Linked DNA regions of Caenorhabditis elegans. Each later gene encodes a partner of the first gene's protein in a complex. Each region holds a gene or a part of one and is shown in the gene's direction. Other genes may lie near its edges. The genes, in order: eif-3.H, eif-3.G, eif-3.E and eif-3.C.

Region 1 (7,675 bases):
TTCAAAAATTAGCTTCAAATATTTTGGCCATTTTACTAATTTTTAGAAGAATTTAATATTTTTTTTCTCATCAATATAATCAAAATTAGATTATAAATAATATTTCATAGTTAAATTTCAGATTTTTTTTCGACTTTCCGGAAAATCGAAAATGTTTCGTTTTTTTTTTTGTTGAAAAACCGAAAAAAAAATTATTTGGCACTTGAAAAATCACTTTTTTGTTGAAATTTTCCCCCGATTCCGTTTTTATTTAAATTATTTTTCAAGACGAGATTTCAGATTTTTAGCATTTTAATATTTAAAAAATTTCAAACCTCCTTCAGTTGCACTGTAATAAGTTTCACCAGACGTTGACCGGGCCACTAACGCCGGAGGAGCTGGAAGAACAGTCGATGACGTGGATTTTAACTGAAATTTTTTTTTTTGCAATTTTTTGAATTTTTGTAGTAAACTCTACCAATTGACGACTTCCAGTTCCATAAGTTTGAGCGATTCGTTCAGTGACAGCCCTTGGATTAAATATCGTTGATTTGAACTTCCGCATCGGGGTTGACATTGTGGGAGTTGGTACTGCTGAAATTTTAAGAGTTATAGAGAATGTATATTTAAATTTAAAATTTTTTTGTGAAAATTTTGAAAAAAAGAAAACCTTATTTTCAATATAGTGATGCAATTTTAAAACAAATTTCCGAAAATAATTGTTTCTCGCATGAATAAGTTAATATTTAGCTGTCACTTCGCATTATTTTGGTACTTTTTGGTTATTTCTGTGAAGTTGCAAAGTATGGATTTTATTTTAAATATTTTAAAAGATGTGACAGGGAAACGTTTTTTTCTTAATTATTTAAAAAAAAACGGAATATTTTTTCTGCAATTTTTTTTAAACATGCATGTCTAATATTTTTTCTAAAAATAAAAACCATCGTTTGCCAGATTTTCATATTCTGTTTCGCATAAAAAATTCAATAAATTGTAAAATATCGAATTTTTTTCAGAGTTTTAGGAAATTTATTCCAGATTATCGAGTTTCTTTCGGAAAAAATTGTGAAAATTTGACAAATTGTGTGTTAAGAAAACATAAAGAAAAAAAGAACAATAAAAATAGCCGGAAAACGCAAAAATTTCAGCTCTTTTCATTTTTTTTTCTTGAAAAATCTAAAAAATTCTATAGGTATATTGAGGCTATTTTCTATTATTCAGGATTTTTAAAACATATTTATGTTTATTTTTTTTCAGGCTTTCATAAAAACCTTTTTCAATTTCCTTTTCCTCTTCGAGCCGAATCGAAAACGACGAGATATATCGTTTTTTGAGGGGACTTGTCGAACGATTTTCCGAATCTTGACGAACTCGTTTTTTGATTGGCGAAGTTATTGGCTTTTTCGTAGGTGATTTTGGAACGAACACGTCATCATCGATGGTACGGGTCTCAGAAATGCCACGTGGACGTAAACGTTGTGGAGTTAAAATTGGTGGCATGTCGGATGAAAAGAGACACTGAAATAATATTTTTTGTTATTTTCAGAAACTAGTTTTATATGATTGGGCGGCAAACGATTTTTTCCGGCAAATCGGCAAATCGCCGGAATTGAAATTTCCGGCATTTCGGCAAACTGTGCTGTTGCACTTTTTATTGGAAACTTCAGAATTTCAAGTTAAAGACGCGAAATTGTACGCCTCCTATTACGGGAACACAAAATTCTGATGATGCGTATTTCACAACATATTTGACGCGCAAAATATCTCGTAGCGAAAACTACAGTAATTATCTAAATGACTACTGTAGGTCGATTTAAGGGCTCGATTCTCGAAATGAATTAAAATTATTTATTCATCGATAGATATTTCCAAAATCAAGCCCGTAAATCGACACAAGCGCTACAGGAGTAATTTGATGAATTACTGTAGTTTTCGCTACGAGATATTTTGCGGGTCAAATATGTTGTGTAATACGCGTTCTCAGTATTTTGTGTTCCCGTAATATAAAAAAATATGTTCCTACTTCTATTTTGAAAAGTAAGGAAATTCTATGAAAATATCTAGAAAAACGGGAAAACATTTCAGATTGCCGGAATTGAAATTTCCGGCGAATCGGCATTTGCCGAAAAATCAAATTTTCGGAAATTCGCCGAATTTTTCGAAAAAAAATTTGCCGCCCAGCTCTGATATGATTCAGTTGAATATATTACCGTTAATGAAGATGTTCTCTTCCTCTTTAACACAGGAGTTAAGCTATTTCCAATTTCCATTCGTATTGGAACATCAAGGGACTGGGCCTCTAATCGTGGCATTGACCCGGATCTTCGGTATCTTTTAACTGGAGAACCAGGTGTTTCCACATCTTCTTCTTGCCTTCGAATCCTTTCAGGCGTCTGTCTCAACAGCATTGATCCACTACTAGATCGACGCATTGGCGGTGTTACTTGATCTTCCAGGCTTGGAATACTCTCCGGAGCCAGTTTTCGGATCGGTGTCTGGTGGTCCTGTTCTATCCGCAATGGAACCATTGGCTTTTTCTCCATTTTTATGGGTAATGCACTAGTCTTTGTTCGAGTTAGACTAGGTACACCGGCTCTTTTGAGACTCGCTGCTACAGAAACCATCGATGTTGAATGGGATAGGAAGGATGAGGACGATGATGGTGGTGGGATTGTTCTCTGAGACTATTATGAATATTATTAAACAAAAATGCTGGAAACTTGAGGGTTTTACCTCCAAAGAAATTGAAAAAGTCGATTTCAATTGGCTCATTCCCGCCATTCGTTTTAATCCTCCACGTGGACTTGGTGGAACCAATGGTGTCTGAAACAAATTTACAATTATTTTTTAATATGCATTTGGTTATAATATTAAATCTTCAAATGGATTCCAATAAAGCTAGTTTATTTAAGAATTGTGTTTTATTGATTTTTTTTTCATAAATGCGCTTACCTTTATTATTTCATTATTTGTAGGTTTATTAGGGTCGTTGGATGCACTCGATTGCATCTGAAAATATACAATTTCTCTTAAAAAGTTTCAAAAAGCATTTTAAAAAGTAAATCCCAAAAACAAAAGAACGACAAAAATTTGAATTCAAATCAAAAGATCACGCGCGGGTACGGTGTGCAATTGTGTGCATGCACTACAATTGACGCGCAGTTGCACACAACAACGGAAGGAATTAATTTCGTGGAGTGTTTCCTATTTTCAAGATTTTATTGATTATTTTGAGGTTTTTCTCGCCAATTTTCTGAAATTTATATTTTTAATTTTCTTTCGAAAAATTCGTGATGCTTAGATTATTGATTTTTCCTCTTGTGAGATGCATGTTATTGTTTATTGTTCTTTAGAAAATTTGAAAAACTAAATGCTCATCTTTCAGGGTTATCAAAAATGTCGACAGCAGTGACAATTACCGCTCCGAGCGTCAAGCATATCCTTTTGGATTCGCTTGTGGTTATGAAAATTGTGAAGCACGTGGACAGTGAACTTCATGCAGGAATTAGTGAGGTATATTATTTTAATTTAATTTCAAGCTTAACATGTAATTTACAGGTATCTGGAGACGCTTGTGCCGGAGTTCTCACCGGTCTTGTTTTCCTTGAAGATTCTCGCTTGGAAATCACCAATTGCTTCCCAACAGTTCGCAACGAGCCAGTTATGGATGACGATGCTAATGTAAAATTAGCTCATGCTAGTGATTCCAATATATTTTCTATTATAGGCCGCTCAACAATACGAAGAGCAAAAGCAACACGAGATGCTTGACATGCTCCGCAAATTCCGTACAATGAATATCGATTACGAAATCGTTGGATTCTATCAGTCTCATCAATTCGGAGCCGGTTTCTCACACGATCTCGTAGAATCTATGTTCGATTACCAGGCTATGGGCCCAGAAAATGTTGTTCTTATTTATGGTTAGACAGATTAATGAGGATAAATAATTAATTCTAATTGCTTTCAGATCCAATCAAGACTCGCCAAGGACAGCTTTCTCTAAGAGCCTGGCGTCTTTCCACCGCTGCTCTTGATCTCGCTTCAAAGAATGACTGGAGACCAGAATTGTATGGTTTTTGAGTTTAAAAATATATTTGCAAAGACATATCTTTTCAGGGTGAAAGCCGCTGGTTTGACATACCAGAACATGTTCGAGGAGTTGCCAATCATCATCAAATCCTCATATCTCAACAATGTTCTCATGTCTGAGCTTTCACTCGCTAAATCATGCTCTTCTGACAAGTACTCCACGAGACACTTCGATTTGGGATCCAAGAAGTCGCTTGAAAAGTCGGTCCGAGCTATGATGGCTAATGTTGATGAGCTGAACAAGTCAATTCAGTCGTTGACGAAGTACACTATTGACAAGCAAAGACATGATAATATGGTGTTCAGTCTGACGCAGAAAAGAGTAAGAATTTCGAATTTTGAAATTAAAAATATCCTGATTGTATCGCTAAAATTTATATTCCGAAGTGTAACGGCTTTCAAACCTAAAGTCTTGTTTTTTGAAAACCATTTTCCAACATATCGAGGCTCCACTAACTATAAAACCGGATGTGAGGGGTACATTTTCGGTGGAATAAAGGTGCCATTCACGATTTTCGAAAAAAAAATCTCTATCATTAAAAATTTATATTTTTCCAATTTCAGCAACAGGAGAACGAATCACGTGTGGCCCGTGGTGATCCAACAATTCCAATGGATGACATCAAGAGAATCAAGGCTCCACAACTCCAAACAAGAAATGGACTTTTGGATGAGCTTCTCGCCAGTTTTGACACCAACGCTCTCGCTGACTTCTCGAAGACTGTGACCAGCGAAAATATCACGAAAATGTTCATCGCTGAAGCTGTTGCTGAGGAGAAAGTCGCCGGAACAAAAGACAGAACTTTGAGCTCTGTCTCATCGACTCGTTAAGATTCCCAAATATACTCGTGTTTTTGTTTCCTCCCTGTTCCCTTTAATTTACTTTTTCTTTTCTAAAATATTTTTCTCTCGGTGAAAGGAATTTCATATTACATAAAACTAGTGACATAAAATAATGTCTCACTTTCAATATAGGGATATTGTTTTTCATCCAAATTTTTTTGCCGTATGAAATTCCTTTCTGGTATCCTTTTCCACCTTCCCCTATTTCGGATGAATTTTTGTTGTTGACTAATAGTAAGTTAAGATTTTAAAATTTCTATTGGTATTGTTCTTTTTAATTGAGTTTTCAAGTTTTTTCAATCAGTAAATCAAAAAAGTTAACAAAAAATTTATTTGTGAAACAAAAACAAAACAACCTAAACCTAAAATTCACCGGAATCACAATCCAATCAATCACCAAAGTAATCCTCCCTTCTTTGCTCCGTTCTCTTTCACAATGCTCTTAGGGTCCAAACGAGCGAAAATCTCAAGACCCGCACTTCTCTCCACAGCATCCAATGGAACATGGAACTTGGAAATTTCTACAGTATCCTCGATGACTGCGTTTGGCAAAATATAGGATTCCAGCTCGAATTTGCCGGGTGTCACTTCGAAAAGAGCAACTTTGAAGAAATGAGTTGGCACTGCAACGTTATTATCACCGATAACTTGATACTTGATATACTTTTTTCCATCTCCTTCAAGTTTTGGAAGGTAGAGGGGACCGGTGATTATGTAGGAGTTGATCATCTTTTTTGCGACTCTTCTGGAAATTGTAGAAAATTATTTTTAGTATTGTAAAGAAAAATCTTGGTACCAGCTGGTTTCAGACTGGGCTGTAGATTTTTCGTTTTTTTTTCTCAAAAAAATTTTCCAAAAGTTTCAAATTGTATTAATTTTTCAAAAAACAAAATTCTTTAGAGTTACGTGTTTTTGCGAAAAACTTCGTCGACGAGAAAAAAAATTATTTCACATTTTTCGCGTTTTTTTCCCGGCAAAAAACTTTATTTATTTTACCAACCTGCAGTGCATTTCCAAATCATTCCACTTATCGCGATTGAATCCTCGTCCAACTTGTGGGCTCATATTGCTCAAATAAAAAGTTTGATCGACCGCCAACTGACTCTTCCGATGATTTCCAGCGGCGGCGAGATGTCCACGATCGAATCCACTGCACTGAAACATTGGATGGTTCAGAAATATTTTTTATGTAATAATTACGAAGAACTAACCTTATAATCCGTATTTTGAGAAAGGAATTTCTGCGGGAAAGTGATATCTGGCTTGAATTCACAAAGCTTCCGATCCACACCTTCTGCGTGTTTTAATCGTTCTGGTGTAAGATGTTCGCAGACCTGGAAATTCAATTTTTTATTAAAACCGGTCTCGACACGACAATTTTTTAATGTAGAAAGGTGTGCACCTTTAAATAGTACGGTAGGTTCAAAGTTTCGTTGTTGTGGAATATTCATTGATTTTTATAGTTTTTTTTCACGATTGTTAAAATTAATGTGTTTTTTTAAATAAATAAATATTTTTTAAAATAAAATACTAAAAATAAAAATTATGATAGTTTGAAATGACAGTACTTTTTAAAGGCGCACACCCATTTGTTTTATACAAAAACAAAAGGCATGTCGAGACCAAAGCTGCCTTTGTTTTTGGAAAAAAAAAATTTTTGGTTTTTTCGGGACAAAAAACCAAAAAATAAATTACAACACTGATTCAGCAAAAATGAAACAAATTTTTTTTTGGTGGAAGATTTATTTTTGCAGTAGCCCTGCTGGGTACCGTATTTTTGGCGCTAAAACTTGGCGTCCGGTATAGATTTTTGAAATATATTTTCTCATAATTTTCTACTAACCCAGTGTGCAGTTCTTGTCTTATAATCGTAGGAAAGCACGAAATCCTCATAAGTTCGAACATTTGTGAATCCGGGATATCCGTGCTTCATGATCTCTGCCGAACGAGATGGTCCCATTGCATCAGCATTTAGAGATGCTGGTTTTACGGTCATTGGCTCCGAAACTTGGATTTGATTCTGCAAAAGCGGCATTTTTCAGGATTCTAGAAGATTTTTATTAAACCATTGGAACATTGGTGGCTGATTGAACATTCCTGAAGATTGGCAGATCGTCATTCGAATATTTTCCAGCGAGGAAAGATATTCCAGCGATTGCCGCGGTTCCAGCCACCTTGCCGATCATATTTCGGCTGGAAATTAAAATTGGAAAATTTGGAAAAGAAAAATAGAAAAACTGAAAATTCATGTAAAAAAGATATTTTTGAGTAATAATCTACTTCATATTCAAACAGTTTACAATCGAATTTTGTAGAAATATTTATTACTTTTAATGGAAAAATGGCAATTTCAAAAAGACGAAAATAAGGAGAATAACAAGAGTATCAGAAATCACCCGAAGCTTAAGCTTATTACAGGAAGTATTTACACAAATTGGAAAAGAAAATTAAAAAAAAAATCAAATATACATGGATCCATCGTAAGGTTTAATGTATCCAACTGCGATCAGAACAACGTCCACAAGAGTCCACACACCAAGACCACCGAAACTGAAAAGTTTTCCAATTGCAGATTTCCAGAGTCCCAAGTAGAAACGATCAGCTCCAAAACCGCCGAGCACAACTGAGAGAATCATTGTTTTTGTCCAACTGTATCCAGATGACCAGTTACATGGAATTCGCTTGTAGAAATTACGTTGTCCCATACATATTACTGAGCTGTGAGCCTGAAAATTCAATTTTTTTTTGAAAATTAGGTATT
Region 2 (6,868 bases), on another chromosome or scaffold:
AAAATATTAAACAGATAGATCTACGACATTTTGTTGCAACCTATTATCAGAACTAGACGAACAATGTTCTAGTGACCGGCTTCAGATAACCAATGATCTGATGTCAACCAGATCACACCTTTCAAATCAGAATGATGTCATGATTTTATTTTTTGAAAAAAACACGAAAAAAAACAGTTGTAGTGATCGAAAGATTGCTACACATAGATGACGAGAAAACCGTGCAGTGTCACTTGACCTCTATAAGTGTAGCCTCCAATTACATTTTGTTCTCACACTGAATCAGTCATGACTTGATGGTCAAGACGATTCCGACACAAATATGTATGGTGGTTTGTGTTCGTATCATTGTGTGTGACGTCACAAATCCCGATTTCTGATCGTATCCTGATCCGAAACAAACGCAAACAAGATGGAACAAGTATTTTCACACACCCGTTCATAAAAAGTGTTTCTTTTAGGGGTCTTCCAATTGTGGTAATTCACGGGTTGGCTGGATACGCTGGATTATCAAAGAAAAGTTTATTGAACAAATACTATTCGTATGGGCAACCAAAGGGAACTGTATTCGCAACAACATATGCAAGAGGAAAGCTGATGGACTCATTGCAACACGGAATGCAATGCGATTATGTGTTGAAGGTAGGTGTAAAGAAATGATGGGATTATATAATAGACATGAGAAATCATTTTGATTTGGGAATTTAATTTAGACTCTGAAAACTACAAGAGGAACACTTGCAAAAGCTAAGATCAAGTGTAGTGTAACTATTGTCATCATCACCAACATCATCATCATTAAATCTAATCTTTACAATGAGAAAACCTCGCCATATCATGTCTCCGTTCTGACGCGGCGCCACTGGTGTAGTGAATGTGTAGTTTGTGATGGTCACAGTTAGACTGGCCTTGTGGGGGAATTTCTATAACTTCTGGGTTTGATCTCGTCTGTTAATATAGATAAATAGAGAACAAAGGGATGATCGGTGATCTTTCAAGACCCGATTGATAACGGCCGGAGTGACGTTGAAACGGAAAAAGGACGTGACCCGAAAAAAGAAGGGATTGTTTACAAACTACACAAAACACAGATTTATAATGACTGGTTGGGTAGACATCTTTCGGAAGGGATCCGGATTGAGAAGGATATTCTAAAAGAAAAGATGAAGGGGAATCTATAGGTGAAATAGGGATTACAATCAACGAAAGGAATATTGCAATCCAAACTGTAACTCTAAAATTTCAGGTTCGCACTCTCATTCTTGCTGTTCATGAATACACTCAGAAACCAGTAAACATCATTGCTTGCTCCATGGGATCTCCAATTACCAGAAAAGCTATTCTTGGAGGACACTGTGTTGATAGTGGAGTCAATTTGGGACGCCCAATTAATCATCTAATTCATAATTATGTTTCTGTTGGTGGAGCAAATCACGGAGCTATTATGTGCGCCAAGCAGCCATTTGTGAATGGAATCTGTAGTTTAACACATGGTTTGGATTGCCGTTCCAAGTTCTTACAAGAGATCAACTCACAGTAAGTTTCGCAAAAAAAGTATCCCAGCACAGGGAATTGAACTCATGCAGGTGTGCGTGAAAGGCAAAACTTTTAGCCACTAAGCCAGCAAGGCTTTTCATTTTTTGGGTATACTAGGGCATACTTAAATTTAATTACGTTGTTTTCTGTACACATAAACATTAATTTCATGATTTTACAAGTCAACATTTTTTTCAGGCCGTTCCAATACGGAAAGAACATGTTCGCCATTTATTCCGTAGCTGACGAAGTTATTGGACTCAGAAATACGTGTGGAGAGATGTCCTCACCATTAGAAGGAGCCACTTCAATCGTCAAAACTAGACTAATGCATGGAGCAGTTATTGGTGGAACTACAGAAGATCAATGGAGGGCTCTTCAAACCTCATAAAAACAAAATCTCACCAAAAATACTAATTGACATCAAATTTCACTTGTGATCTCTTTAATTTCCTTGTTTATATTGATTCGAACTCGTTGCTTTCATTCAAAACTTTGTGTGTATATTGTTCAAAAGTTTAATAAATCAGTACAATCGTTGATTAAATTGGTATTTTGAACGAAAATGATCAGAATGTTAAATTCGTCCAAGTGATCAAGTCCATCAGGCGACTTGTAAGAATTCTCATAAGAATAGAGATAGGAAACTGCTATATTTCGCAGATCAATCTAGACACATGATACAATGTTGTGATTTTCTCCGAAAACGAAGATATTTATTATTTTCTTCAGAAATCTCTTCCGATGAGACTGAATAATCTGTGAAAACCGGAGCGGCGGCGCCATTTGGCTTTTGGGCAATACGGTGCGCAATTCTGCAAACACATGATCCCACGCGCAAATGCACAGATTTCCCAATGCGTCGTTGTTTCCCAAATTTTCGATTTTCGGGATATTTCTACATTTTTAAAAGATTTCCAGCCGTGTTTTTGTTGTAGAATATTTTTTTTACATATTTATAGTTTGTTTTTATAGATATTTGCTAAAAACTATGAATCTAGTTGAATATTCGCTTATTCTGGAAAAAAAAATCAAATACTTTAAAATCTACATGTTTTGAAGAGCTGTTTCTTTTTAATTCTGAAGTTTGTTAAACCATTTATTTGAAATTTTTTCTTATTTTATATTGCTAAAAACATAATCAATAGTTTTTCAGGTAGTAAAGTTACAGCTATGACTGGCATTAACGCGTGAGTTTTCACCCTCGAATAATTATTTACGTAAAGAAAGTTTCAGAATGGCTCCCGCTCCAGAAGTTGTAAGCTGGGCTGAGGCCGTTGAGCAAGACAGTAAGTTTTTCATTTCTCGTCTTCAAGAATATTTACGTGAACTTTCACGGTTTTCGCATTTGGAGTGCAACCGCCTAACAAAACGAGTCATTTCTGTATGAACTGATGAACGCTTTTGCAGACGCCCCACACATCCAGGAAGGAGCTGATGGAACACGTACCGAAACAGCTTTCACTGAGGTTGATGGAGTAAGATGGAAGGTTTGTTATCCGATGGCCAAAAAATTCGCCTTACAGAATTCTCGAGTTATGCTCTAGAATTCTTTCAATTCCAAATTTCAGGTTGTGACACAGTTCAAAGTTATCAACAAACGTGTACCAAAAGTCGTCGCTGATCGCAAAAAATGGGTGAAATTCGGAAGTTGTAAGGGAGAGCCAGCAGGACCCCAAGTTGCCACAACTTACGTGGCTGAAGAAGTCGATATGCAATTCACAAGAAATCGCGCAGGAGAGCAGATTCTTGACGTTCAAGAAGACAAACAGACTGCTAAAACTACAAGCCGTGAGCATTGCCGTCATTGCAAAGGAAACGACCATTGGAGTACTCATTGTCCTTACAAGGTCATGTACCAATTGGACGAGGAAGCTGATGCTGACAAGGATACTGAAAAGGATAGAATGGCAATGGGAATGCGTCCTGATGGAAGACAAATCGATAGAAATCGGTAAGCATTCAAAATACTGTAATCTAAGTTGCCCAAAAAATCTTGATGATTGAATAATTTATGAACTATTTTTAAAACATACTTTCAGATCCGATGAGAATACATGCCGTGTCACCAATCTTCCGCAAGAGATGAACGAAGACGAACTTCGTGATTTGTTCGGAAAGATTGGAAGAGTCATCCGAATCTTCATTGCCCGTGACAAAGTCACTGGTCTCCCGAAAGGATTCGCCTTCGTTACATTTGAATCAAGAGATGACGCCGCCCGTGCAATTGCAGAACTCAATGATATCCGAATGTACCATATGGTTCTCAAAGTCGAATGGACACGTCCGAGCAACTAATCCGTTTTCTGATTTATTTATGTTATGCGTACTTGGATGTTTTCCCGCTGTTTGGTTCTTCATAATTTCGTAGCTAGTGTCTGTCTAAACTGAAAATTACTGTAGACCAATTCGATGTTTGTTGTTCTTTCCTATTGAAATCATAATTTTTACTTTCTATGGTTATCAGAGTTGGCAAGTGAAGTTTATTTTCACGAAGGCAGTTCTAGCTATGAAAATTGTTGGTATTTCCTTTTCTTTCTTCAATGATAAATCTATCTCTTCCTGGTTATTTTTTCGTTCTATTTTTCCAATCGAGTTGGGTTTCTGTCCAATGTAAAATATCATAGTTTGAATAAAAATCTGATGGCTAAAAATTTTCAAACGCAATAGAACATTTTATAACTCAAAAATTCCAGATGGGCTTCTTGAAGATTCTCCGTAAGCAACGTGCTCGGGAACGCGAGATGAGAATATTAATTCTTGGATTAGACAACGCTGGAAAGACTACTTTAATGAAAAAATTCCTCGACGAGCCGACTGATACAATTGAACCAACATTAGGATTTGATATCAAAACCGTGCATTTCAAAGATTTTCAACTAAACTTATGGGATGTTGGCGGACAGAAAAGTCTAAGATCTTATTGGAAGAATTATTTCGAATCCACAGATGCTTTAATTTGGGTGGTAGATTCGTCAGATAGAGGTAGAAACAAATATTTAGGATACATTCAAATTTATAAAAACTTTTTTCAGAGCGTCTTCTACAATGCTCCGAAGAACTCAAAAAATTGCTCGGAGAAGAACGATTAGCCGGTGCTTCTCTTCTAGTTCTTGCCAACAAAAGTGATCTGCCAGGGGCCATTGATGTGAATTCAATAGCACAGGTAATTCAGATGTCTTCAGTATATACTTCCGAAAAGAAATGCTTTCTTGTAAGCCTTAACATGTAGATATTTATATTAGATTCATTATTCACATGTTACTCTCGTAACATACATTTTGAAAATGAAGAAAATCTTTAAAGAGGCACGGAAACATAGGAACCTTGAAACTACTCAACCTATTAAGAATTTTCTAGGTACTCGATCTCCATTCCATCAAATCCCATCACTGGAAGATCTTTAGTTGCTGTGCACTTTCTGGTGATCGACTGGTCCAAGCAATGACATGGTTATGCGATGATGTTGGAAGTCGATTATTCATACTTGATTAAAATTGTTATCAATCAAACTGCTTTGATCTCATTTCACACTGCTTGTAAATATATAAAAATTATAGATTTTAATTTATTTTTCATTGAAAAACAAAATAATAAGGGCTTCAATAAATTATATAAGAAAATTGCACACCGAGATTTCGGTTGACATGGTTGGAGATTTAACAAGCTGATTGCATCTTGTCGGATGGCACCATCATACGGGATACGATCATATAAGTGATGAAAATAGCCACGAAAACGGTAAGACCAAGGAAGACAGTGACAACGGAGATATGGAAAGAGCTGATACACAATTCTTGTCGGAATGAATCTTCTCCGATTTCTCTCGAAGCTACGAGAGCTTGAGCTTGTGTGAGAGAAGATGGGAGCTGAAAACAATGAATGAGCAAATGAACACCATTTTGACAACTTACATTTCCTTCCAAAACTTCCAAAGTTGTGAGCTCAGCACGGACATCAAGAATATTCTCCATTACTGGAGCGGATCTCTTCTTCAAAACTCTGAAGAACTGAGCAGTTTGGTTAGCTTGCTTAACTGCTCCAAATCCTTGTGGCTCAGAGCACGTTGGGCGAGCACACTCCTCATTTGGTTCCTTAACAGTAATGGAAATCTGGCATTGATAGAAAAGTTGAGAACGATCAGCGTATTTGTAGACGTGAGCCTCTTGTCCAGCCATCAAATCAGTTGGATATTCCAAATTGTTGAGCAAGAACTTATCAAGAGCACAACCGTTCTCATCCAAAATTTGCACGGTATCACCATTTCCATCATCAACAGTGCAAGAGTGAACGACAGCGCAGAAAGTATCAACGGTTTCAGAATCACAGGTCCATTTGTGATAGACTTGTTGTCCAATAGTTGCGAATTGAACTGGTTCTCCAGTTGGTCCTCCGTTAAGAATCTCGTATTTACAGATTGGCATTGGAACAACCTGGGTTTGGAAAGCGGTGGTAAGATCAGAGACTTCAATTTGGGTAGAGACTGTCTTGTCGGCTTCCATGTAGAAGCATTGAACACGGTAGGCACTGGAAATTCAATTTGCATTTTTTTAACGAGAAGCTTCTAGTTGATATCAAGCTTTATAATTTCGGTATCCTAAACCTTCAAGAAGCATTCCTTAAAAATTACAGAAGTTTCATAGTCTTACCGATCAACCTTGGTGACAAATTGGGGATGGAAAGAGACGACGACAGTTGTGGTAACGAAGACTCCCTTTGGATTCAGAGATCTGGTACGAGCAACGTTGCAAGTATCGAATGGAAGTTCGATTCCAGCGACTTGACGACCTCCTTCGTCATTTCTACATTCTTGTTGATCGAAAAGTCCCTTAACGTAGACGTGTCCCTCGAAGGCATTACGTGTGTTGAAGTTTACTGAAAACATGATTTTGTGGGAGAATAGTATATAAAAATTCAGGTTTTTTGCAAACTTTTCCTGAAGACAATAAAGTTGAGATAATAAAAATGATGAAGAAAACTTTTAGAGTAGTAAAAAATGACTTCGGCACACTTTATAAAGTTTAATCAAAACATCAAAAAAAAGACGAAAACGTAATATGACTATCCTAATAATAAACAAATCAAAAGCATCAAGATACCTGTGATAGATGTTGGTCCACATTCGACCTCTGGCTCTCCTTCTACATTATTATCAACTGGAATTGCAGAGACCGACGCCACAAGTAAACACAGTCCAAGACCAAGTGAATACCTAGCCATTCTGTAATTTTTTTTATATGAAAAAATGTTTAGCTGCAAAAATGAATATGGATACGAAAATAATAATTTTAAAACATGAAGCGATTTTGTGGAGAGTTGAGCGATTCAAGAC
Region 3 (7,273 bases), 6.2 Mb from region 1:
CTTAATTTTATGTGCCAACTGTCTCTCGATCATTTTCCTTGGGTCACGATCATCAAATGGCATTGATCCAGCCAGCATTATGTAGAGAATGACCCCAGTACTCCATACGTCAACTGCATTTCCAGAATATTCTCTGCCACGAAAAATTTCTGGAGCCACATATGCTCGCGATCCACAGAATGTTCCAGATTTTTCACCCGGTTTCAGAATTCTCGAGAATCCGAAGTCGCCGAGCTTCACATTTCCATGTTTATCCATAAAGATATTTTCGCATTTGAGATCCCGATGCACAATGTTATAGGATTGCAGATGCTGAATTTATAAATTTAAGAAAAACAGTTTTCTGATATAAAACTTACAGTAAGTGCTGCAATAAGTTGACGAAATGTGAACTTTGCATCTTCCTCTTTCATTGCCACGATATCCTTCATTTTACGGAGCAAATCTCCTCCAGCACAGTACTCATTGACGAAGATGATGTGATCTTGAAATGAAATCATCTCGTACAAACGACAAATATTATCGTGTTTCAAGAGCTTGACAATCTCTTTTTCACGTGGCAAAAACTTTTTGATGTAGTCCTCTTTTTCACGAGTTGGCGTAATGTTGATGATTTTCGCTGCAACTTCGAGCTTTTTCTCTCCGAAAGTTGCGCGTGCCACACGGGAATAGGAGCCACTACCTGTAAATTAATGAATTATAAATTGGAATTAATTTCCAAATGATTACCGAGAACTTTCTCAAATTTGAGCTTCCAGACCTTCTCGAGTGTTGGAGCAAAAGCTTTCGTTTTTGGACTCAGTTCATCAGGTTCTTCTTGGTTCTCAGAAACATCTGAAAATTAGTTATTTTCTCTGAAAATCTGCATAAAATTCTTACCTGTATTGTTTTCCGTTGCCATTTCAACAATTTGCCAGAGAAATATGAATTCAAAATACTGCGAAATTGGTCGATTTTGGTTCGATGAATATTGATTAATAGATTTTTCTTCTCGATTCATCAGTTCATCAAGACATTTTCACGTTTCACGAAAGGTCACTTTTTTTTCGATTTTTCCTTGATTTCTCCGTAAATTTTCTTTGTTGAAAATGTTTAATTAACATTTTATCGGGAAATAAAAATGTTCGCTACTAACTATTTGCTTTCTGGCGCCTGTTACACACCTCATAACATGCCTAATTCCTATAATCTGGATTCGATAATATTATAGGTTTCTTTAAAATGAAGTCTTTGAAAAAGCATGGATTAGAATGAAAATATAAATAATATGATAATTTGAGAGTAATTGAATAACATATACATTTATAAAACAGAGGGTAAAATGGAGTAGTGCTAGTGGGGGACATTTTTAAAAATTCGAAAAGACCCAAATATCAAAATATAACATTCCAACTTGAAAAAAAAACTGTTTGCACCCAAAAAGTTAAGATTTGGCAGCTGGAAATCTACCAAAACAGTTTTGAACAAATTTTAGCGGTTATTTGAAAATTGAGATCTAAAAATTGTTTGCCTTTTTTATTTTGATATCTTGGTCAATTTCAGTGTATTCTGACATAACAGCAACTGGCTTAAATTGAATTAATAGTTATCGTTTTTCCATACAACAAAATCAAGGCATTCTTCGATAAAATTGACGGTTGCAATTTGTCCATCGTCGCTCTCAATATCCCATCCAAGTGTACAATCCAATTCGTCTATTTTGTATCTGAATGTTATTATTTTTCAAATAAAATAATTTAGCTTTTTTCCTTTAATCTCTACAGTAGATAGGTAGCAAGAATTTCTTCAATTAGTATGGCACCCCATCGTTCACGGTTGAGAGCTTATATCTCGGTTGTTTTCAAAAATAATTAACTGATGAAATATTTGGTAGTTCTTTTTATATCGTTTTGTAGTTAATAGTTTTATGATATCTTTGAAATGAACCGAGATATAACCTTTCAAAGTAAAGTAGTCTGTTGAACTAATAGAGGAAATACGGTATGTCAAGATCTTTAGAAACAATATGTGTAACCAAGACCCACAAGTCAAACTATATAGTCAGGTTTTGTTTCAACTGGGTGGCACACTACCCTCAAGAATCAGGGCTCTTCATGTAGCCCACTCGCCAGCTCTACGACAAATAATTTATATTCTCACTTGAACACTTTTGGTCTTCGCTTTCCATTCCACGGTCTGTGAATAATTCGATGCATTACTCCTTCATAGTTTTGAGGTCCATATGAATTGAATCGTATTCTTCGTAGATTCGGCATTCCTCCTGACATCAAATACCCGAATTTAATGTTGATCAAACCGAAATGGGGCAACCTGACACCACATGAATTTACGGTCTCGTCTGTTCCCAAAAATTAATAATAAAGCATTCTAAATTTTACTGTTCGCTTTTCTGTGCATTTCAAAATTTGAAATTTCATAAAACTTGTGTCTCTGACACATCGGTAAAATTTGGCACACTATTATTGAGATCGTTGCGGGACCCACTCGAAAAATTAATATGTGATTTTAAACTGACATTTCACAATTACAATATTTAAGCATTGCTTTAAAGCCACACAATGTTTTTCGGGGTGGGTCTCGATACGGGCTCGGGTCTTAATATCTTGTAACTCTTCCTAATCCCAGGAACATTATGATTCGTTCGTAATTTCTCAATTTGAATATTTTAAATTAAAAAACTTTTAACTGAAATTTTAGAACCAAAAAACTCCGAAATATTTTTCAAATGTCGCAAATTGCAGTTTTCGGTTATTCTTCTCGTAGTTCTACTTCTCGCAGTTCTCATTTCGCTGGTGGCTCGTGTTGGCAGGCAGTAGCAACGACACTCCGATATTCCATAGCGCGCGTTGTTTATCATTTCCTCCTTTCCCGGCGAATTTCTCCTAATTTCTCGATTTTCTTTCTGCAATTTCATTGTTTTTGTTTTATTTATGTTTTCCGTTAAGAAAATTGATTGGAGTTTTATTAGAACATATTACTATACTAATACGCTTATTTTACAGGTAAAAATGTCGACATTCGACCTGACTCAGCGCATGGCGCCTTTTCTCGATCTTCATTTGATCATTCCGCTCTTGGAGTTCATCGAACCACGAGGAGTAAGATTTAAACAATAAATTGTTGATTCTGAAATAGCTGAATTTATTTATATCAATGATAATTGCAGATTTACGATGAGAAATCCCTGACCGAAATGCACCGCCAGCTTTTGACCAAGACCAATATGATTGATAGTGTTATAGAGACCTACAATGGAAAACCTATTCCGGCTGCAATTGAGGCTAAGAAGAAGCAAATTATCAAGGAGAGAGATGAGCTGAAAAGCAAGGTGGACTCCGTTGTTGCCATTTTGGAAATACCGGAAGTCAAGGAAATGATGGATAACAACAGAGAAAGAGATGGAAATGTCCGTATTTTGGAGCATCTCACTCAAAACCACAATGTACGTTTTTGCTTTGCAGTTTCGAAAATAATCTTAATTCTTGCAGTTCACAGTAGACATGGTCGATACCCTCTTCAAGTACAGCAAGTTCATGTACGAATGCGGAAATTACACCGTCGCATCCGTGTGCCTTTACTACTACCGCAACCTTGTCAATCAAGCGGATCCAAACTATTTGAACGCTCTTTACGGAAAGTTGGCCAGTGAAATTCTGCTCCAAGAATGGGAACATGCTCGTGACGATTTGCTGAAACTTCGTGCTTACATCGATGCTAATCCATTCGACACGGAATGGGAACTTGTTACGCAACGTGCGTGGCTTATGCACTGGGCACTTTTCGTCTACTACAATTATCCAAAAGGGCGTGATGAGATTATCGAAATGTTCTTGAACCAGCAACCTTATTTGAATGCAATCCAAGTTTTGGCGCCACATTTGCTCCGCTATCTGGCTGTTGCCGTTGTTACCAGCAAAAGCCGCCAGAAGAACAGCTTGAAAGATTTGGTGAAGGTCATTGACATCGTGAGTTTAACTATTTTCTATATGAAAATATGATTAATTATTTGTTTTTCTACAGGAACGCCATAGTTACAAGGATCCCGTCACTGATTTCCTCACCTGTCTCTACATCAAATATGATTTCGACGAGGCTCAAGAGATGCTTCAAAAGTGCGAAGAGGTTCTCTCCAATGATTTCTTCCTGACTGCTGTCCTTGGAGATTTCCGCGAGTCTGCACGCCTTCTCATTTTCGAGATGTTCTGCCGCATTCATCAGTGCATTACCATAGAAATGCTAGCACGACGATTGAATATGAGCCAAGAGGAAGCTGAACGCTGGATTGTTGACTTGATCAGAACGTATCGTATCGAAGGAGCTAAAATTGACAGCAAGTTGGGACAAGTGGTGATGGGTGTCAAATCCGTCAGCATCCACGAGCAAGTCATGGAAAACACGAAGAGATTGACCCTCCGCGCTCAACAAATCGCCCTTCAATTGGAAAAAGGTCGTCAAGACAAAGTCAAGGCGACTTAGGCTTTACAAGTTCTTCCGGTTTTGAATGTTTTTTCCTTTTTCTTCATCTGATGCTGTTCTGAAAATTGAGATGTGGCAAACACGGAGATTAAGACTGTCATCTCTCAGTTTTCAGTATTATTTTTCTTTCTTATTTGTTCAGCTCCTCGGTTTTTTACGAGGACTACTCGAATTCTGTCTTTTCTAAACTTTCCTTATATCCCTGTTGTTTCTTTTTGTTGTCTCTGACCCTTCTTTCGTTAGTGCAGGGGCTGGAGGTTCGGTTCTAATTGGTTAAAATAATATATTTTCTCTTTTATCATGGTTTGATTATTGTTAGAATCTAGGTTTATGAAACCTTTCAATATATATTTATTGCCGTTGCCGAGAAATTGTTTGAAATTATTTTTTGTGAGGAAAAACACTTCCATCTGTATATTTTGTCATTTCTGTTGAATTTGCCTTACTTTTTCGCTAATTACAGAAATATTTAAGCCATAGGTTCGATTTTGCCGTTTAAAAATTAAATCTCCAAAAATACACATTTTCGCCAATTCACAGTTTTTATGAAATTAAATAATTTATCTCACTCTTTTTCAGTATGTCAATGTTACGGCGTCCATTAACACAATTAGAATTGTGTGAGGACGATATCCAATGGCTGACAGATCAACTGAACAAGAGGGTACTTCCAGCTGTGATCGTGCCAAAATGCGAAATGATGGATATTGACGAAATGGAGCCGATGGATCAGAGTGAGCCTCCACGTGGCATAACTAGGAGAAATCTCAGATCGGCGGATAGAAGTGAGATGATGATTTATTTAATTTTTCCTAACCTAGCTTTTTCAGAGAACAGAGACGTTCCAGGACCAAGTACGGGAGAGTGCACGCGTACTTCCATTGCACCGGTAATTTTTTTTTTTAAATTAAATGTTTTAAACATTACCTTTTAGAATCGATGTGAAATGTCATTCACTGAAGTGCAGGTGACATAATTTTGTGTTGTTGGTGTTTCGAACACTTATTTCTATTCACTTTTTCATATTTATCTTATGGCTATTCTCCGTATTTCCAGACTTTAACATCTGCTCGAACTCCTGTCGCTGCTCCAACTCTAACACTTTCGACGCCAGTCAACCCTGTCTCATCAGCTGAAATGTTGAGAGTTATGCCACCTCGTGTAGGTCGACGTCCACGAGCTTCTCGTTCTGGTGACAATGATTCGCCACTCCTCTTCAACGCTTATGATACACCACAGCAAGGAATCAATGACGAATCTCCAACACCCTCTGACTCTCCCGAATCTCCTAATGCTCATCTCTATGGTGGTCAATGAGTTGTTGGAGGAATATTGTCAATATTTTATTTTCAGCTACTCCCGGCAATCCTACTTCAACTTCTGGAGGACCTTCTTCAAATACACGATCTCACAGACACTAACAACTACTGGTCAGGGTTGTGTTTAGGCAAACGTGCAAAACCCGCTTATTTCAATATAATAATTCACTTTTTGATCTAAAATTGATTTAGAAACGTAGAAAAACTTTTAGAGGTCTTCTCAAGCTTTTCATTAAAAGTGAACCGTTTTATACATTTCTATATTTATCAATTTTTAATTTTTTAAAAACTTGGATTGTTATACTGAAATTCGCAGTTTTACACGCCCTGCTACTGATCTCCCTTTCAATTCCAACTTCCTCAGCGTGCTTTCTTCTTTTTTCGAACTAAATAAATTTGTACAATATTTGAAACAAATATTTCTGAAATGCTACATTTACTGTCATAGTCTGTGATTTTTCTATCTTTCTTTGTTTTTTGAAATTCCAATATTTCATTAATTCTTCACCAGCCCTGTTTCAGAAATTGCAAGATGCACGGGTTAAAACGAAGTCTGATGATCAGAACAGTCTGCCGTGGAAAGGCAACAACTGCAGGAGCAGATCTACCACAATCATCACAAGAAATCGAAGTTACCACCCCAAAATCAGAAAATGTTCCAGCCAAATCAGCGAACGCTTCAACTGTATATCGTCCGCCATACTATCGAAAGCCACATCAGCACCACGAGCCAAAGCATATGCTCCAAGAGGAATTTGTGAACGCTGGCGATGCATCTGGAGCAGGAGTTCGCGTTTTCGACTACTACAAGACTGCAGAAATGGTCCATTCAATGCCAACAATTAAAGAGAAAATTGATTTCGTCTCACCGTACGAGCGACCGTGGACCCGCGCAGAAAAGACATGGCGTAGAGATTGGCATCCAACGTTGATGGCAACACGCAAAGCTTGGGGAATTCCACCGACACCGGCACATTTTGATACTTTGGATTATTATAAATACCTTACAAAGACCAGAGTAGAAAATGAGTCACTTGATGATTTTTATCATGGATTAAGACCTCCGACAGCTGATTTGCAGACAAGTTTCCAAGTAAGAATATTTCATGAAAATATTATCATTAATTTAATTTTTTTTAGAACACTCTAAAATCAATGGAATTCGGTGATGGAATCAACTTTTCTGATGAAGACACACAAAAACTATTTGGAAGTTTAATTGATGATGCAATGGGTGGAATTGCTCATAATGTATCCCGATTGGCAGATCATCGTGTGGCATATGATGTTGAATCTGAAGCTTTCTGGGTACGAAGTGGTTTCATGTTTTTGTATGATGAAGAAGAAATTGGAACTCGTGACGTTAAGAGAAGGCTCAACAATTTCCCGAAATTCATTGGCGATGATCGAAGAAAACTTGGAGAGCTCGCTTTTGTGCATCGTGATAAACTAGCAGCTCAAGTTCGTTCGAAGGAACC
Region 4 (8,737 bases), 5.5 Mb from region 1:
ACACTTTTTTAATAAAATATATAATTATTCACTAAAAACCTAAAATAAAACAATAAAAACATATACATTCGTGAAAAAACCATGAAAAATCGATGGTAAATCTGCGTCAACGAACGTTTAAAATTACTGTACTCCTTAAAGGCGCACGCCTTTTTGCAACAAAAAATAACAACATTTTGCAGATTGGTTTTATAATTAATTTAATAAAATATGATATACCTAAAAACTTTCTATGTTTTATTTCAGGCAACTATACTCGTCACCGTCACCTTCACGAGGTCCAGCGGCTCCCGCACAGAATCAAAAATTTCGGACAGAACAATGGATCAACAATCAAGCATGGCCATATTCTCAATCTCCTGCTCCACCAGTTGCTCCATCAGTTATGTCATATCATCAAGGAGACGATCGAATGTCAATGCTCAGTGTGAATACAACCATGACAAATCAATTTCCCGATTCTCAGCGATGCTACTCATCAAATGGTTCAACATGTGAAAATGTGAATCCTGAAATGATGCAAATGAATATAACACAAGCGGCTGAACAAGCAATTAGGGTTTGTAATTGAAAAATCAATAATGAATCTTGATAAAGTTCAATTTCAGCTATGGTTTAATACACCAGATCCCATGCAAAGACTTCATATGGCAAAAACAATACGAACTTGGATACGACAAGATAAATTTGCACAAGTTGATCAGGCAAATATGCCGGTGAGTTTTCCAAAAATGTTGGAATTCTTTTTACAAAATCTGTAATTTTTTTCAGAACTGCGTACAACAAATCCTTAACATAATTTACGATGGTCTGAAACCTCAACCAGTTCAACTTCCAATTTCATATTATGTAAGTCTCAACACAAATTACAGATTTCAAATCATATTTTTTCAGGCTCAACTCTGGTATAATCTGTTGGATATTCTTCGAAGATTCACATTTCTACCCATTATTTCACCATATATTCATCAAGTTGTTCAAATGTTTTGTCCTCGAGAGAATGGTCCACAAGATTTTCGAGAATTGATTTGCAATTTGATTTCGTTAAATTGGCAAAAAGATCCTCACATGAAACACTGCGCAAATCAGGTGTTTCAAATTTTCAACTGTATCATAATGGGAGTGAAAAACGAGAAATTGAGAACAGAATTCGCTCAACATTTGAAATTCGAAAAACTCGTTGGCACTCTCTCCGAGTACTTTAATCCTCAAGTACACCCGGGAATGATAAATCCAGCAATTTTCATCATTTTTCGATTTATTATTAGCAAGGATACTCGATTGAAAGATTACTTCATATGGAACAATAATCCACATGATCAACCTCCTCCGCCAACAGGATTAATTATAAAATTGAATGCTGTAATGATCGGATCGTATCGATTGATTGCAGGCCAAAATCCTGAAACATTACCTCAAAATCCAGAATTGTAAGTTTAAAAATGAAAAATTCCTCCATCACTAACAAGTTATATTAATTTTCCAGAGCTCATCTTATCCAAGTTATAATCCGAACATTTGATCTTCTGGGTCTTCTCCTTCATGATTCCGATGCAATTGATGGATTCGTACGGTCTGATGGAGTTGGAGCAATTACTACTGTAGTACAGTATCCAAACAATGATTTGATAAGAGCTGGATGTAAGCTCTTACTTCAGGTCTCTGATGCAAAAGCCTTGGCGAAGACTCCATTGGAGAATATATTACCATTCGTAAGTTTTACGTTTAGAAAATCACTGGACTATTAGAAAATTATTTATGTGTTCTTTTACTTTAAAAAATTATACTAGATGCCCCAAACCTATCTAATTCCATAGTGATACTTCACTTTTGTAAGAAGTTTCATTATTAAATTCGGTCGTTTCAGGCTAGTTTTAGTCTATTCAAATTAAAAAAAAACTTCTCTCCCTTCAAATAAACTGTTTAAAACCGGAAATTTTCAGTTACTGAGACTCATCGAAATTCATCCGGATGATGAAGTTATCTATAGTGGAACAGGATTTCTGAGTAACGTAGTGGCTCATAAACAACACGTAAAAGATATTGCTATACGATCCAATGCAATTTTCCTACTTCACACGATAATCTCAAAGTATCCACGACTAGATGAACTTACCGATGCTCCGAAAAGAAATCGAGTTTGTGAAATTATTTGCAATTGTCTGCGTACATTGAACAATTTCCTGATGATGTGGATTCCAACGCCCAATGGAGAAACGAAAACGGCTGGACCGAATGAAAAGCAGCAGGTCTGCAAATTCATCGAAATTGTACGTTTTGGAATTTGAAAAACGATATAAAAATGAATTAAATTATTTCAGGATATTCTGAAAAAACTGATGAGTTGTTTATCATGTGAAGGAATGGATACACCTGGTTTATTGGAACTTCGAAGTACAATTCTCCGATCTTTTATACTGTTACTCCGAACACCATTTGTTCCAAAAGACGGTGTTCTGAATGTTATTGATGAAAATCGGAAGGAAAATTTAATAGGACACATTTGTGCCGCCTATTCATGGGTTTTTCGTCAACCGAACAATACAAGAACTCAATCCACAAAGCAGCAACTTGTTGAACGTACCATAAGTTTATTGCTTGTGCTCATGGAGCAATGTGGAGCTGAAAAAGAGGTGGCACAGTACTCGTATTCAATTGATTGCCCATTAAATCTGCTGAACGGAAATCAAGTGAAACCAACGTTTATTCACAATGTGCTTGTTGTATGTGACAAGATTTTGGAGCACTGCCCGACGCGTGCGGATATTTGGACGATTGACAGGCCGATGTTGGAAGGACTGACGAATCATAGAAATTCAGATATAGGTATGTGTCTCGAAAATGTGTTCATAAATTAAATTACAATGCATTTTTTCAGCTAAAGCCGCGAATTCTCTGCTGAGTCGCTTCCCTGAAAACGACCTTCTTGCTGGTATTTTTTCAAATCGAGAATATTTCTGATTTAATGGATAAATCTGTCAACTCCATCTTTCATCCCAAAAATCCCCGTTCAAAGCCATTAATTCGTCTAGTTGGAAGCTGTTTTAGCGTGTACATAGTCGTATTATTGATTAAAATATGTTCTCTCTTCTTTTCTTCATTTTCTACCGGTCCCAAATTTCCTCATTCTTGACGATTTCATATGAATTCGAGTTTAGAACAAACAAAACGTTCCGATTTTCCTAATTTATAGCACATTTCTTCTCATTTTGCCCTCGGTTTATCTCTTTCTTTTTGTTGTTTCTTTGTTTACGTCTGTAGCATAATATTTTTGAATACAAAACATTTTCGCGATTATCTTTGCATTTTAACTATCAAATTCCTGTCTTATATACGTCTTTCTTCGATGTTCTTACGTTGAATAGAAAATAAAATTATAAAACTTTTTAAATGTTGGATTGATTTACTGAATACTCGGTTCATATATAAGTTATTTAGAGACTATTCTCGTTCTGTAAAATTAACCTGAAATTGTGGAATTGTGATTAAATAATAAATTATTATTTAAATCTCCGCGCAAATGCCCACTGGCGCAAGTGGCGAGTGCTGACGCATCTCCCGTGCACGCGAAACGCGCCAGTAAGGTCTTGCAACGATTTTCTTATGTTCCACTTCCACTTAAATTTATTTCAGCTAAATATTGACCCATTAGCTGTTTTTTGAATTGTTTTCAAAGGGAAAATCGTTTTATTCATTTTAAATTTTAAATAATATTGGAATTTCTGTCTAATTGTGTATCTACTGCTTGTTTGCTTCTTGTTTTGGGATTTCATAATGTCAATTTTGTTTCAGCAATGTCTCGCTTCTTCCATGCTAAGGAGGACTCTGATTCCGACACTTCGTCCAGCGAGGATGAGGTAGAGGATCAAAAAGTGAACAAAAGCGCGAAATTTCGGTAATTATAATCTCCAAAGTAATTCCAAAAGATTGATTAATCTTTCAGCGATGATCTCGATTTCATGGCCGGTCCTGAAGAAGATGAGAAGCGTGTTGTTCGTGCCCAAAAGGACAAAAAATTCGATGAGCTGAAAGGAATTATCAAGCAAAATCGAGATGCAAAGAGCAACAAAGATCTGAACAGACTTCTAACAGGTTTTGATTCTCTGGCCAAAGCTTATGATAAGTCCAAGACGGTCTTTCAACGTCAGAATGTCGCAAATCCAAGATTTTACATAAGGTGAGATATATTTTTAATTTACAGTCACATCATAAAATAAAATGCTAATGAAAACTTAGTAGTTGATATAAAATATTTCAGGTCTCTTGTGGAAATCGAAGACTACGTAAATAAATTATGGGATGATAAAGATGCTAAATCTGCTCTTTCGAAGAACAACGCAAAAGCTCTTCCACCTCTTCGTCAAAAACTGAAAAAATACATCAAGGATCAACAACTGCAAGATCTTGTTACCGATTATCGCGTTAATCCTGACGAGGATGGATATGAAACTCCAGAAGATGAAGACGACGATGATTTTGGAGAGGTTTCTGAATCGAAGGCTGAAAAGTCACCTGGAAAACCATCTGAGAAAGCTGCAGTGAGCGATAGTGACAGTGACAGCGACGATGACGACTCCTCTAACTGGTCTTCTGAACCAGAATCCAATTCTTCTGATGACGAAGACAGTGTGACTAAGATGGAGCAACTTCGTAGGTATTTCTTGAAAAAAGAATTCCGCGTGGAGAGCAAAGATGACAAGAAAGAAAAGAAGAAGAGAGTTATCAGAGTCAAAGAAGCTGTCGAGGAAGACGATGATGCGGATTGGACTCCAGTTAATCGTGAGAAGTCTGTTGTTCACTTTGATCCCAAGGAAGAAGTTACTCATGACGTTATGATTAAGAAACTCAATGAGGTTATGTCGGCTCGTGGAAAACGAACGACAGATCGTAATCAACATGTTGCTAATCTTCGAAAACTTTTGGAGGTATCGGAAGAGAAAGAACTTGGTCTAGGAATCAACGTTAAAATCAGTTTCTGCATAATCTCGGCTCTTTTCGAATTGAACGCTAAAATTAGTGATCACATGGAGTACGAAACATTCATGACCACTCTGCAAACCGTCAACAGCTTGCTCGATCTTCTCATCGGAACTGATCGTGTAAAGTTATCTGTGACATATGCTGAAGAAGATGAAAATCTGAAGGTAATACTTGCATTCCTAAAATTAATAAAAATCCTAATATTTGCAGGATGACACTCAAGAGTATCGCATTCAAGGAAGTATTCTGATTGCTGTGCAAAGATTGGACGGAGAGTTGGCTAAAATTCTTCAAAACGCCGATTGTCATTCCAATGATTATATCGAGAAGTTGAAGGCCGAGAAGGATATGTGCTCACTCATTGAAAAGGCCGAGAAGTACGTTGAACTTCGTAACGATTCTGGCATTTTCGATAAACACGAAGTTTGCAAAGTGTACATGATGCGCATCGAGCATGCCTACTACAAATATCAAGATCAAAATGAGGAGGATGCTGGAAAGTTGATGGATTACTTGTGTAATAAGATCTATACACTTGATGATGAGAAACGATTGAGACAACGTGCTATGCTCTGCCATGTTTACTATCTGGCTGTTCATGACAAGTGGCACCGCGCCAGAGATCTTCTTCTTATGAGTCACATGCAAGCTATCGTTGATCATTCTGATGTCGACACTCAAATCCTCTACAACAGAACTATCTGCCAACTCGGTCTCTGCGCTTTCCGACACGGTTTCATTCGCGAAGCTCATCAAGGACTATCTGAAATTCAAAATACCCAACGTGCCAAGGAGTTGCTTGCTCAAGCTGTTGGAACTCGTCAGCACGAAAAGACTGCTGAACAAGAGAAGATTGATCGTTCCCGTCAAGTTCCATATCATATGCACATCAATGTTGAACTTATGGAGTGTGTCTATCTGATCTGTTCGATGCTTCTCGAAATTCCACACATGGCTAGTTGCGAATTCGAAATGCGTCGTCGTATGCTCAGCAGAAGTTTCCATTACCAATTGAAGCAAAGCGAGAAAGCTTCTCTCACTGGACCACCAGAGAATACCCGTGAACATGTTGTCGCCGCATCGAAAGCAATGTTGAATGGAGATTGGAAAAAGTGTCAAGACTATATCGTCAATGACAAGATGAACCAGAAGGTCTGGAATCTTTTCCATAACGCTGAGACTGTTAAGGGAATGGTTGTGAGACGTATTCAAGAGGAATCTCTCAGAACTTATTTGCTCACATACTCTACAGTTTATGCCACTGTTTCGCTCAAGAAGCTTGCGGATTTGTTCGAACTTTCAAAGAAAGATGTTCATAGCATCATCAGGTATTTGTAATATTTTACTAGACAGTACATAATTTTTTTTTATTTTTTCAGTAAAATGATCATCCAAGAGGAACTTTCGGCTACACTTGACGAGCCCACCGACTGTCTCATCATGCACCGTGTTGAACCTTCCAGACTTCAAATGCTTGCTCTCAACTTGTCTGACAAACTTCAAACTCTTGCCGAAAACAATGAACAAATTCTGGAGCCGCGCACTGGACGTGGTGGTTATCAAGGTCCAGGATCGTGGTTTCCAGGAAGGAACGAGCGGCAAGGAGATAAGCAGAAAGGATCTGGTGGATACCAAGGAGAACGACGTGGAGGACAAGGACAAGACGGAAAGCGAGGAAATTGGGGATCTCAAGGTGGTCAGCAACGTCGTCATCCTCAAAAGCCACGAGCCTTCTAAATATCCATTTTTCAATCGTCTCTCCCATTCGTGGAACCCGCTAATACGCCTTTCATGGCGCCTGCAATTAGTCTCAAAAACTTTTTGCAGGCGCCAATACTTGTTGAATCTTTTATTTAATTGATCAGTTTTTTTGGTAATCCCCCACCCTTTCCCACTTTTCCTTGTTCAGTGTGAGATCTGAACTTTAAAGCTCTCATTTTTCGTTTCCGGTTAGTAGTGTTTAAGTTATACTCTTTCCATACTGTTTTGTTTTTGCTAATTATTTATATTGGGTTGCCGGATATTATTTTAATGAAATATTTAATTTGATTCGTCCAATTTTAAGTAATTTTTTATGAGCCCCGGTTCTGTCCAATCAGTTATTTTCTCAGATCCAACAATAAAAGTAACAAAAAATTAACATAGAATTCATATTTCAGGTTACTGGAAACATAAATTTCGCCTCAAAATGGGTAAAAGGAAGGCATTCATTGATAAGAAAGCCAGTCAAAGTTTTCGATTGGTTCCGGATAATAGGGAAAGAAGTGAACGATTCAAGCCAACTCAAGAACATTTGGAGGAACAGCAAAAGTATGGAGTCTACTACGACGATGATTATGATTATTTGCAGCACATGCGAGCTGTTAATGAGGTTTGTCATCTTAAAATCAATTTGATCAAATACCGAAACTTAAAAAAAAGTGTTTGTTTTTCGATTTTTCAATGAAATCAAAAGATTTTAGGATATGTCAAAAAATAGCTTAAAATTTTGGTCTTTGTACTTCTTTTAAGTAAAAAATTTCTATGTTTTTTTAATCAGCATTTTTTACATTATTTCATAAAATTGAATTTTATGGATGATTAAAAAAAAGTTTTCCATATTACGGAAAATCAAAAAAAAAACAATTTTTCGATCACCTCTTTTAGAACATAATCGAAAAACAATCTTCTTGTATTGGTAAAATAATCATTTAAATTTTCAGCCGATGAAGCTGGAAAATGTTCATGAAGAAGTCGAGAAAACGACCATCAAAACGAGTGGTTCATCAGCATTCCCACCAGCTCCACCACTTTTCGGACTTGTCGGTGCTCTTAAGAAACCGGAATTTTTTGACGAAGATGTTGCAAATGCGTTGGAAGAGGTGACAGATGATCGTAACACCGGAGAACTTGAAGATAATTTTATCACACTTGCTGGTGGTCTTCTTGATGAAAGAACTACAGTTTATAGAAGTACAAGACGAGGTGAAGATTCGGAAGAAGAAGAGGATGACGATGAAGACGATGAGATGTATGATGATTATAATGATGACGAGTTATTTGGAGAAGAGGCTGTTGGAGAGATTAGAGTTGAAAGAGCTGATCAAAGAGTTATTGATAATGCTTTTGAAGAACTCATGGATCGTGAATACAACACCGATCAGGTATTATTTCAGAATTATTGGCTTGAAAAATATGATAATTAAACTTATTTAAAAATCGAACAGTTTTCGAAAAATGCCATAAATTTTCGCCATTTTTCCTCTCTTTAGAATGAAAGGATATGTTTTTAATTTTTTCTCTTTACCATAAGAAAGACTTGATTTAAAAAAAAATGATTTTTTGACTAGATTTTTTTTAAAAAATTGTTCTTAGATTTTTTGGTTTTCCGGAAAATCAAAAAAAAACTTTTAAAAAAATCAAATTTTTCGCTTATCGGCTTTTCATAGAAAACGAAAAAATTTAGATTTCCAGTAAAATCGAAAATTGAAAATTGAAAATTTTTTAATTTTTAAAAATTAAAAAATCGAAAATTATCGTTTTTTAGTTTTTTTTTCGGAAAATTCTTTAAGTTTTGGCAAGTTTTCCTCTTTTTAGAATAAAATAATCTTCAACATAAACAAGACTTGATTTAATGAAACATACATTTTTTAGTTTTCTCAAAAAATTTTTCAATCTTTCGGTTTCCTCTAAATAAACTCATTTTTATGAAAAATAAACTTCAAGAAAATTATGTGTTACCAGAAAACATTCTACTTTTATTTATTATTTTTGAGAT

Evidence for each region.
Region 2: eif-3.H (region 1) and eif-3.G share a complex: the UniProt entries of both Caenorhabditis elegans proteins name them as parts of the eukaryotic translation initiation factor 3 (eIF-3) complex.
Region 3: eif-3.H (region 1) and eif-3.E share a complex: the UniProt entries of both Caenorhabditis elegans proteins name them as parts of the eukaryotic translation initiation factor 3 (eIF-3) complex.
Region 4: eif-3.H (region 1) and eif-3.C share a complex: the UniProt entries of both Caenorhabditis elegans proteins name them as parts of the eukaryotic translation initiation factor 3 (eIF-3) complex.

Annotation. Positions count from the first base shown.
Region 1 is NC_003279.8:4,441,355-4,449,029, forward strand, and holds eif-3.H (Eukaryotic translation initiation factor 3 subunit H), read left to right. Parts: upstream 1-3,364; 5' UTR 3,365-3,375; coding exon 3,376-3,492; intron 3,493-3,537; coding exon 3,538-3,660; intron 3,661-3,706; coding exon 3,707-3,902; intron 3,903-3,949; coding exon 3,950-4,049; intron 4,050-4,098; coding exon 4,099-4,393; intron 4,394-4,635; coding exon 4,636-4,902; 3' UTR 4,903-5,259; downstream 5,260-7,675. Other genes in the region: C41D11.3 (Cysteine/serine-rich nuclear protein N-terminal domain-containing protein), read right to left, coding at 315-408, 458-573, 1,251-1,497, 2,190-2,663, 2,713-2,802, 2,932-2,988; cps-6 (Endonuclease G, mitochondrial), read right to left, coding at 5,308-5,659, 5,915-6,069, 6,126-6,248, 6,758-6,934, 6,981-7,100; TM2 domain-containing protein C41D11.9, read right to left, coding at 7,374-7,640. UniProt on the Caenorhabditis elegans protein: Component of the eukaryotic translation initiation factor 3 (eIF-3) complex, which is involved in protein synthesis of a specialized repertoire of mRNAs and, together with other initiation factors, stimulates binding of mRNA and methionyl-tRNAi to the 40S ribosome.
Region 2 is NC_003280.10:8,440,075-8,446,942, forward strand, and holds eif-3.G (Eukaryotic translation initiation factor 3 subunit G), read left to right. Parts: upstream 1-2,692; 5' UTR 2,693-2,709; coding exon 2,710-2,726; intron 2,727-2,772; coding exon 2,773-2,825; intron 2,826-2,946; coding exon 2,947-3,026; intron 3,027-3,107; coding exon 3,108-3,490; intron 3,491-3,578; coding exon 3,579-3,834; 3' UTR 3,835-4,101; downstream 4,102-6,868. Other genes in the region: lips-10 (LIPaSe related), read left to right, coding at 462-642, 1,247-1,536, 1,735-1,927; evl-20 (ADP-ribosylation factor-like protein 2), read left to right, coding at 4,233-4,521, 4,572-4,702, 4,897-5,031; cut-3 (Cuticlin-3), read right to left, coding at 5,196-5,405, 5,451-6,063, 6,186-6,411, 6,636-6,756. UniProt on the Caenorhabditis elegans protein: RNA-binding component of the eukaryotic translation initiation factor 3 (eIF-3) complex, which is involved in protein synthesis of a specialized repertoire of mRNAs and, together with other initiation factors, stimulates binding of mRNA and methionyl-tRNAi to the 40S ribosome.
Region 3 is NC_003279.8:10,638,011-10,645,283, reverse strand, and holds eif-3.E (Eukaryotic translation initiation factor 3 subunit E), read left to right. Parts: upstream 1-3,002; 5' UTR 3,003-3,008; coding exon 3,009-3,098; intron 3,099-3,166; coding exon 3,167-3,442; intron 3,443-3,488; coding exon 3,489-3,965; intron 3,966-4,020; coding exon 4,021-4,476; 3' UTR 4,477-4,761; downstream 4,762-7,273. Other genes in the region: tag-344 (Protein kinase domain-containing protein), read right to left, coding at 2-312, 360-682, 730-834, 880-1,000; B0511.17 (DUF4283 domain-containing protein), read right to left, coding at 1,579-1,705, 2,140-2,255; cdc-26 (Anaphase-promoting complex subunit CDC26), read left to right, coding at 5,057-5,261, 5,307-5,365, 5,533-5,785, 5,830-5,897; mrps-30 (Mitochondrial Ribosomal Protein, Small), read left to right, coding at 6,328-6,888, 6,936-7,273. UniProt on the Caenorhabditis elegans protein: Component of the eukaryotic translation initiation factor 3 (eIF-3) complex, which is involved in protein synthesis of a specialized repertoire of mRNAs and, together with other initiation factors, stimulates binding of mRNA and methionyl-tRNAi to the 40S ribosome.
Region 4 is NC_003279.8:9,974,718-9,983,454, reverse strand, and holds eif-3.C (Eukaryotic translation initiation factor 3 subunit C), read left to right. Parts: upstream 1-3,792; 5' UTR 3,793-3,794; coding exon 3,795-3,895; intron 3,896-3,943; coding exon 3,944-4,177; intron 4,178-4,258; coding exon 4,259-5,144; intron 5,145-5,190; coding exon 5,191-6,308; intron 6,309-6,359; coding exon 6,360-6,717; 3' UTR 6,718-7,029; downstream 7,030-8,737. Other genes in the region: Beta-catenin homolog sys-1, read left to right, coding at 247-559, 609-716, 772-849, 895-1,430, 1,487-1,712, 1,944-2,270, 2,322-2,826, 2,879-2,961; T23D8.3 (Protein LTV1 homolog), read left to right, coding at 7,169-7,351, 7,683-8,123. UniProt on the Caenorhabditis elegans protein: Component of the eukaryotic translation initiation factor 3 (eIF-3) complex, which is involved in protein synthesis of a specialized repertoire of mRNAs and, together with other initiation factors, stimulates binding of mRNA and methionyl-tRNAi to the 40S ribosome.